Rattus norvegicus: one gene and its partner. The protein of the gene in region 1 interacts with the protein of each later gene in a pairwise test. Links are inferred from orthologs where the notes say so. Each region holds a gene or a part of one and is shown on either strand. Other genes may lie near its edges.

What was found. The genes of interacting proteins can lie anywhere in the genome.
Region 2: the proteins of Ubqln1 (region 1) and Zg16 interact in binary tests that used the Homo sapiens proteins (3 or more experiments, as listed by UniProt). The link is inferred for Rattus norvegicus from reciprocal best matches to the Homo sapiens genes UBQLN1 and ZG16.

The regions. Positions count from the first base shown.
Region 1 is NC_086035.1:6,442,507-6,447,394, forward strand, and holds the start of Ubqln1 (ubiquilin-1), read left to right. Parts: upstream 1-1,933; 5' UTR 1,934-2,099; coding exon 2,100-2,252; intron 2,253-4,888. UniProt on the Homo sapiens protein: Plays an important role in the regulation of different protein degradation mechanisms and pathways including ubiquitin-proteasome system (UPS), autophagy and endoplasmic reticulum-associated protein degradation (ERAD) pathway.
Region 2 is NC_086019.1:191,087,365-191,092,002, reverse strand, and holds Zg16 (zymogen granule membrane protein 16 precursor), read left to right. Parts: upstream 1-1,397; 5' UTR 1,398-1,421; intron 1,422-2,031; 5' UTR 2,032-2,038; coding exon 2,039-2,093; intron 2,094-2,251; coding exon 2,252-2,384; intron 2,385-3,342; coding exon 3,343-3,658; 3' UTR 3,659-3,755; downstream 3,756-4,638. UniProt on the Homo sapiens protein: May play a role in protein trafficking. May act as a linker molecule between the submembranous matrix on the luminal side of zymogen granule membrane (ZGM) and aggregated secretory proteins during granule formation in the TGN.

The DNA.
Region 1 (4,888 bases):
CTTGAGGAGCCCGAGTTTATTGGACTTCCTTACAGAGCATAGGCAAAGGGTTCCTTACAGGAATGCGGGGACTCCTGTAAGGTCTTTACACAGCAGGAATGGGGCCTTAGCCACATAGATGGAGCTCCCCACAACCCCCAGTCTTCTTTGACCTATTTACTCTAGACCTTCCTTATGGCAACTTGCAATTAAGGCAGCATTGTAAACAACAGGTGGTAGAGAAAGGCTGGATACTCCGGTGACAGTCTTGGGACCCTCCCTACCACTCCATGAAGGGGTGTGCTAGTTAGTAACGCCAGCTTGGAGGAACCTTTTCCAAGAAAGTGCAGCTAACTACCCAAGATGGCAGTGGCTTGCTTGGCTGGGAGAACTCTTGTTCACAACATGCCATATACCTCAGAGATTTTTAGAAATAAAATACAATTACAAGGGTATTCCATACAAACATCAGTAAAGGTTATCTACAGCCGCTGTATTAGAGTAAAGAGATCGGGTTTCTAAAGGGCAACAGAATGAAGACTTCCAGGAGGTGGGGGATATGATGTGAGATCACAGAAAGTTAGGCAGGGAAAGGTGTGAGGGGGGCGGAAGGGGGGGATGTCATCATAGAAGGCAGCCTAGGGAAGTACACAGGGAGAATACAGCAGGAAGGAAAACCAGTCAACAGAGGAACTAATGAAGTTGGAAGGAGATTTTATATATATAAACATGAGAAAATTCCAAAATGCTTGCTTGCTCAGTGGTGGAACTTTCTACCCCAAGAACTAACAATTTTCTCACACCTAGACATAAAGCTTGTAACTTCTTCCTGTGATCGAACAACGCTGACAGAAATGTAAGTGATATCAAGTGACACTTGGGTCGCCATTTACCTTCGAAACTCTGACCCAGATTTCAAAGGGCTCTGCTAAGAAGTGTTTATGCAACAGTAGTTAATCATAGAACAGGGTTTGATGGCCTAAGAGCAGAACTATGGAATGTCTTTGCATATTAGGGTCACGGTACACTGTCAGAGTTCACGTTTGTGCAATGTTGATTAACAAAGTGCCGGACTGTATTACATGCTATCTTTGCGAATAAAGGATGTGGGAGTCACTTGTGAATGACTTATTTGTGCCTACATTATGCTGAAAATAAGTTTTCAACCATTATCCCTGATGCGAGCTGCACAGTAACGTAATGGGACAGAATACAAAAGGCACACATCAGCTGGGCTTAACTCCTACCCGTTGGGTGGACAGTCCTAGGCATTCTGTTTCTGCCCCCACGCAGCTTGGAAGACAGACAATATGGGTTGTCCTGTCTTCTGACCAAACCTGTTTGACTCCATGGAGGGAAGCTCTGGCCTCATTGAAACAGTGAGCGCCTGCGGTTGCGCTGGTGGCTCACTGGCGTCTGTTTCGTGTTCCTTTGAAGACCTTTCACCATTGGCTTAGCTTCCAAGCCCTGAGCACAAGACAAGGCAATCGTAACTCCTTCCACCCGGGCAAACACTACGCTTATTAAAATAAAGTAACTCGCCGCTATTTTATAAGCCAACGCCCACGGGGACCAGGTCGGGAGGATACCGGGACCGAGAGCAAAGGGCCAGACGTTTCTAGCAATTTCGCTGCCCGTGACGTCATCTTAGTGCACCATCATGGCGTCTTCCATGAAACCCCTGTTTAAATGCCTTTCAAAGAAGAACGGGAGACGCGAAGTGGGTTAAGTTCCCCCGCTGTGCCCAGCGCTCCTTCGACCTGGAGGAGCCCGCGCTTCGTCCGCCGGCTAAGAAAGGAACGAGCGCCGCCAGGCCATGAGTCGGCTCCTTCGCCAACGCGCTACCCGGCGTGCCTCGCGCAGCCGGCCGCCAGGAGTCGGCGCCGCGGCCAGCGCGTTACCCAGCGTGCCCCGCGCGGCGCCCGGCGACGAGCGTGGGGGAGGTGCGGGAGGAGGAAGCGGCGGCGACGCGGAGAGTCCCCGCGTCCACACGGCAGCCGATCGCCCACCGGGGCCTGCACCCGCAGCCCGCGTCTACGCACCGTCGGTGGCCCCGCAACCTGTCGCGCCCCGCGGACCCGGCCGCAGCCCCCAGTGTCGCGCTCGCCTGAGTCACCGCCATGGCCGAGAGCGCAGAGAGCGGCGGCCCACCGGGCGCTCAGGACAGTGCGGCCGACAGCGGCCCCGCAGAGCCCAAGATCATGAAGGTCACGGTGAAGACGCCTAAAGAGAAGGAAGAGTTCGCTGTGCCCGAGAACAGCTCGGTCCAGCAGGTGAGGGCGCGGGCCAGGCGGTCGCTGCGTCGCCGGCGGGGCGGGGAGGGCGGCGAAGGGGCGGCCTGGCCGGGCGGCGGCCCCGGGGAGCTCCGGTCAGGTCCCGCCGGGTTCCGCTGCGTGAGCTGTGCGGGGCCGGGACGAGTGAGCCGCGCGGCCTGGGCTGGGCTGCGCCGCAGCCGCCGAGCTCCGGGCCCCGGGACCCCAGTCCTCACAAAGGAGCCGGGAGCTGCTGGGAGGCAGGGCGCGGGCGTCGCTCGGCCTTTGACCAGGCTGGGTGGGGGTCATTGTTTTACCTGCCTGGGAATTGGAGAGGTTTGGGGGCGAGAAGCACGTGGAGGGCTAGTTCTCGGTTTTGAATGCTGAACTCTCCCCCACCTTTCAGCCTTTTATTATAAAAATTATGACGCGGAACTTGTTTTCAGTCACACTGTACTAGCTCACGCCTGAAAGGAAAAAAGTAAATGACTTTTTGATTCATAGGCGACTTGCTGCTTCTGTGAACAATACTTCCGTCATCGCTTAGCTGCCACTCATTGGATAGGTTTTTGTTTGATTTTTTTAGGGAGATGAGAAGACACCTGACTGGGTCTTAGCGGTTGCAACGGACCGCAAGGAAACATGGTTGATGTTAAGGCCGATAATTGCCTTAAAGTCTATTCAGGAAAACAAATCTTGCAGCTAATTAAGAGCCTTGGTAGAACCTATCAAATGTAGTTTTCAACACGGTCTAGAGCATTTGAATTGTTGACAGTATCAAACATTGTAAACAGTTTTATGCGAGGAAGCAGGGAACAGCCACTGGAATGTACCTGTAAGTTCTCTCAAGGCTTATCTAGTTCCAAAGGTGAAGTCGGTTTCTTTTCTGAAGCAAGAGGATGTGTGGCACATTGAGAGAAACTCTGGTTGACTGAAGCATCATTCCTTGTGCGTTAACGCTGCTATAAAAAAAAGTTTACCGTCTTTATGTTTTCCAGCAGGTGTGTCCGTCACCCACAATTGACATTTTCCTGCGTTTTCTGTATTGGGCATCTCTTACTTCTAAAATACACTTACTATTAAAAATACTGCAAATATCAGTATTACCCTTATAAGGAAGGTAAGCCACATAAATATTAGTGGCTTGAGAACAACGTCTTTGAAAAATGGTATTCCACATGATGAGAGGCGCAGTGATACGGACATGGTTGCCTTGGCTGGTTTCCCCAGCTCCATCTACACCTGTGTCAGCCAAGCAGGCCATAGTGGAGCCTGTTAGAGTGAACTACAGGCTTCCTTCCGTTCCTCTTTTTGTCACCCCTGTAAGGATTGTTTTTCCTACAAGATTGAGTTCACAGAGACCTAGTTGTCTCTCATGTGGTCTTCTGGATAAGGCTTTTTTTCTTCCTCCACTCAGCATAGTTTTTGAGATTCATCCCAGTGAGGTCTGTATCCCTCCCACGACAGAGATTTGCATACTAGGCACAGGCTTCATTCTACCACTGAACCAAGTCCTCAGCTCAGTACTTAACTGCTGAGTGGTTTTCCACACCATGAATGTGCCGTCACCTGCCCAGGGTCATCTGTTTTCAGCTGCAGTTCTTGTGAAGAGCCTCAGGAGTCCTTTTTGAGGCCATATGCTCTGTTATTGTTTAGTTGCTTTTGTTTTTATTTAAAAGACAGGCTTTCACTCTGGAAGTTTGGCTATCCTGGAACTCACACTGTGTAGACCAGACTGGCTTCAAATTCATCTGCCTTACTCATCTGAGTGTTGGTATTAAAGGCATTCACCACCATGCTCTGCCAGTTCTGTTTAGTTTTATAAGAAACATGAAAAATGTGCTATTTTGCAGTTCAGTCTACATCATATGGGTGTGTGCTCCTTCCTTCTGTCTCCTTGTTAATATTTGGTACGAATAGGGTTTTTTCTTTTTCTTTTCTTTTTAAAGATTTATTTAGTGTGTGTGAGTACACTGTAGTTGTCTTCAGACACACCAGAAGAAGGCACCAGATCCCATTACAGATGGTTGTGAGCCACCATGTGGTTGCTGGGATTTGAACTCAGGACCTCTGGAAGTGCAGTCAGTGCTCTTAACCACTGAGCCATCTCTCCAGCCCTGGTTTTTTTTTTTTTTACATTGTAACCGAGTAATGAATGTGTGGACATACTAAATTATGAAGCTCTTGAGTCTTCCTGAGAGTCCCAGTTTAGATTTCCATCTTCCTGGCAGCTTCCACATTTTATTTCAGGACATTAGAAATAATACTTTATAAATAGAAAAATTATTTAGGTGATTATCTATAGGGTTTTTTTGGGGGAGTGGGGAATAGTGACACTAGAATTTTAAATTCCGTGGAAGCTTATGTTTTGCTGTGCTGTAAAAATGTCTTTACTGGGTAAAAGTAAAGCTTTCCTAAAGTAACTTATTCTAATGTTGGTTTATCTGTTTCCTGTGGGAGCAGTAAATGTGATAAAAGTTGAAAGCATACCCTGTCCCCCCAAACTGGACAGCACATCAGACTGTTGGATGGGTATGGGGAGCACAGATGCACAAGAATAGGCTAAAGCAGACCTCTGGCACTCGTTTGTAAAGTCCAGTTCTTAGCACAAGAAAAAAGTCCGCCATTCTGTAAGTTAGACTTTCCTTACAGAACTT
Region 2 (4,638 bases), on another chromosome or scaffold:
TGGGAAAGAGACAGCACAATGGACATGAAGCCATGGTGGTGGTGCTGGTGATTCTCTTGAACTTGGAGAAAAGGAGAGGAGGAGAGGTGAAACCGTGGCGGCTGTCTGGTCCTATTCCTGGCATCTATCATCACCAGGGGCCCTGCCCTGCTTCCGGCTTCTCAGGGCAGGACTCCCTAGCTATCTGCGATGAGCTTTCAGTCCCAGATGGTGAGCCTGCAAGGAGAGGGTGGATGTTCTGACTTCCTGACTGCAGGTCATTAAGGACAGACACTGCTTACTCCAGCCCCTCCCTAGGCTCCATCCTCTCTACCAGGAAGGCCTGATGACTCAAGGATCACAGGGCTCGGCTAACAGGGTCTAAGTACTAGCACTTAAGGGTCAGTTCTAGGGACTTTTGATCAAGAGGAAATCAGTCTTGAGAGGGAAGGATCTAAAGAGAAATCTACAGCATTGCTTCTTGGGTGTTTCAGGCCTAAAGAGAGGAAGCTCACTCTGGTGGTCTATAACCTGGAGGTCCTGAGGTCCAAGTCCCGAACAATTCATGGAGAAGGACTTGTATAAACTGTCCCTCTGCTTCCCACGTGCCCATTGGACTGCCCACCTATAGCCCCAGGTTCCCTTTCTCAGAGAAAAAAAGACTTGAGAAGGGTCTGGACTGAGGATGGATAGATGTAGGGGTGAAAGACAGACAGCCCAGGCACAGCAAAGGGTTAATCACAGCAGACTTGTGATATAGGTGTTTACTATGTAATTTTTTAAACTTTTTAACTGAATTCTTCATAATATAATATCAACGAATAGAGAAAAATTATCAGGCCAATATTTGGCACTGCTCAGAGTAGAAAGTGATTTTGTGTTCTGGGAGACGTACCACACATGAGTGGAGAGAGTAACAGTTACGTGGGGTCAGTTCTTGGGACTATCCTAGGGCAAGGACTGATTCTGGGGGAAGAATACCCACAGATCTCCAGGCCTCTCGGACTGCACTCTCATTTGCTTGTTTGGGTTTTCAGACAGGGTCTCATCTATAGCCCAGATTGGCCTTGAACTCATGATCCTCTGCCTTGCCCCACACACCCCTCAAATGTTGGTATTACAGACATGAGCCACCATGTCTGTCTGGATTAATTACACTCTTTAAATATTAACTGCTTTCCCCACCCTTCAGATGGTTTAGCAAATTGTCTCTTCCCAAATCTGGCACTTTGTCTAGAGTGGACCCCACCTTGCCACCTGTAACCCTTGTGGAAAAGGCAGGATAAGATGTTCCAGACCTGCTTGATACCTGACCCTAAAAGTTGGTCATGTTTGCTCAGCAGGTGAGGTTCACACGATAAAGAACAGTGGGAGGGCTTGGACAAGGTATAAAAGCTCTGGAAATTTCTAGAAGATTTGCATCTGCAACTACTAGGGGAAAGGTGAGTTGGGAGATATTCAAATATGAGATAGAAACGACAGTGCCTGGAGTGGGCTATTTTGGAGTGCAAAGATGTCTGGTTTTGGCTAAGGGATGCTTGTGGGGGACAGCTATGGACCATTCGGCTGGCAGAGACAGGGTTATGACACACAGTCAAGTTACCTGGGATCAGATGTTTTGAGCTCACACATGTCCCCCCATTAGCTTCTCTAAGCTCCACCAGTCCTGCTCAGACCCTGTCATTGATACAGTGTTTTCTGTCATCTCCTTTGCTCCCGAGGAGACATAGAAGTTCCCCTAAAATCTTCTTTGCCTTAAGAGTAGAATGATGCTAGAGAGACTTAACTGTGCCTCAGATACCTCATAGACCAGCTGGCTTCAGGTAGGTTTTGCTCAGATTCTTGGTTCATCAACTCACCTGCCTCAGGACTCTAGAGATGGCCTTTATTTCCTCTTCAGAGAGCTCTCTTGTGCCTTGTGCCAGGATGGAGGAAGGCTTGACTCGGCTTAACAGAGACAGAAAGTTAGGGTTATCTTTGGGATTTGGAGAGATGAGCAGTTACAGTCACATCAAGGAATGAGCCTTCTTTTTCTTCTCCTCCCCTCTGCAGCCTCAGGATGTTGGCCATTGCCCTCTTAGTCCTTCTCTGTGCCTCGGCGTCTGCTAATTCCAGTAAGTGAAGTGCCATAGGGAGATCATGGGAAGGCAGCCAGTGTACTGCCACTGTGCAGGGTTGTCAGACACTGGAGTGGTTGGTGGGAGGAAGGAGGGGAGTGGGGAAGCTGTGCCCCCAGAGCATCCGTCCCTCCAGGCCTTTCTTTCCCCTCTAGTTCAGTCCAGGTCCTCCTCTTACAGTGGAGAGTATGGCGGTAAAGGAGGAAAGCGATTCTCTCACTCTGGCAACCAGCTGGACGGCCCCATCACTGCCATCCGGATCCGTGTCAACAGATACTACATAATAGGGTAAGAGTCTCCGTGTTTCTGTGCTTTGGGGTCTGTCCAGGACCTTGCTAAGTTGGAAAGTTCTCATTGACCTGGGATTCCCACCTGTGCACATGACCTTGGAAAGTCGTAAGGGCAAACTCCCAGGAGCCTCACACCACTTGGGTTGGATTTCACCTTATTTCCAATATTTCTGTCAGGCATCCTTTATCTCTGCTTGCTGTCTGTCCTGGAATAGTCCTATCCCACTCTGGAAACTTCCATCACACAAAGAGCCAGGTGTATTTCTTTCTGGTCCATTTTCTGAACCATGAGACAGTTGCTGACTTGTCTCTTCCCTGTCTGGCCTGGGCAGACTTCCAGTGCCAGTGTGTATTGTGGGCAAACTCAGACTTTTGTTGTCTAAGCGACTGAGAAACTGACTTTCGTTCCACAAGCCCTATTTGCCATTCAAACGAGAGTTTGGGATTCTCTGCATGCTCTCGCAGGGCTCATGCAGCCTTTATAGCATATGGAATCTGTCAGTTTGAGATCTCAGTATATAGACTAGGAAGTCTTGATTTTATTTTTTTAAAGATTTGTTATATTTACATGAATACACTGTAGCTGCCTTCAGACACACCAGAAGAGGGCATCGGATCTCATTACAGATGGTTGTGAGCCACCATGTGGGTGCTGGGAATTGAACTCAGGACCTCTGGAAGAGCAGTCAGTGCTCTTAACCTCTGAGAAAATTTTTTAGATTTATGTTTTATGTTTGTGTGCTTGTGTGGGTGCTCAAGGGCCTCATTGTGCATGTGGGGGCCGGAGGACAACTTCTGGGAGTAGGGTTCTCTCCCTCCAGTTGTGGGTTGCAGGGGTTGGACTCAGGTTGTCAGGCTTGGCAGGAAAGCATCTCTACCAGAGGAGCCATCTCAGCAGCCCAGTCTTGTGATAACCATGTCCAATGTGTTCCTTCTTTTCTCACCCCTGCCTCCAGTCTCCAGGTGCGCTACGGCACAGTGTGGAGTGACTATGTGGGTGGCAACCAGGGAGACCTGGAGGAGATCTTTCTGCACCCCGGGGAATCTGTGATCCAGGTGTCTGGCAAGTACAAATCTTATGTGAAGCAGCTGATCTTCGTGACAGACAAAGGCCGCTACCTGCCTTTTGGAAAAGACTCAGGCACAAGTTTCAACGCTGTTCCCTTGCACCCCAACACTGTCCTCCGTTTCATTAGTGGCCGATCTGGCTCTGCCATAGATGCTATCAGCCTGCACTGGGATACCTACCCTAGCCACTGCAACACTTGTTGAAACCCACCATCCTCTGCTGTGGTGGGTATGAGAACTCCCTTATCAACAAGCCCCAGGCAAACATGCAAATAGCTTAATAAAAGGATATGGTTAAAGATGGTGTCTTTCTACATCCTAATTCTAGTAGAAATGTGTGAATCTTATTTCTGACTTTTTTTTTTTTTTTCGGAGCTGGGGACCAAACCCAGGGCCTTGCGGTTGCTAGGTAAGCGCTCTACCACTGAGCCAAATCCCCAACCCCATTTCTGGCTTTTTAAAATATTAAATAAAAATAATGTTTTTGAGACAGGGTCTCCCTCCATGGCCCTGGCTGTTCTGAAATTCACTGTGTACACCAGGCTGGACTCACAGAAATTGACTTGTCTCTGCCTCGGCCTCCATAGTGCTGGGATTAGAGGGGTGTGTCACCACGCCTGGCTAAATAACTGAAGAAATGGGAGGACGAGGGAGAGAAGCGCTAGGGGCTTTCTTTTTCCTTTTCTCTTTCGTGTGTGTGTGTGTGTGTGTGTGTGTGTGTGTGTGTGTGTGTGTGTGTGTGTTTTGAGAGAAGACTTCTCTGGGTAGGCCTGGTTGTCCTGGAATTCACTCTTAAGACCAGGCTGGCCTCAAACTCAGAGATCCACCTGCTTCTGCCTTTCAAGCCATCACTGCCTGGTGGGGCTTTTCTTTATCCGTTATCAAAAAGAGACAGGAGAGCTCCTGAGAATTTTTCCTAATAGTTCAGAGGCTAGGGTAAGACTCCGTTGCATCAACTTATTAAAACTGACTCAAAAAAAATCAAAAATAAAAAGGGAAATTCTAAGTGTGCTATAGCGGTGCACATCTATAATCCAGAATTTGAGAGGCTACGCTGGTCTGGTCTACAGAGTGAGTTCAAGGCTAGCCAGGGCTACATAGTGAGACCCTAAGTAAGGTGGCTTAAGGAGGAAGAAAGATTGCCACCGGTTTAAGGTCAGCATGGGAGCATAGTGAATTCCAGT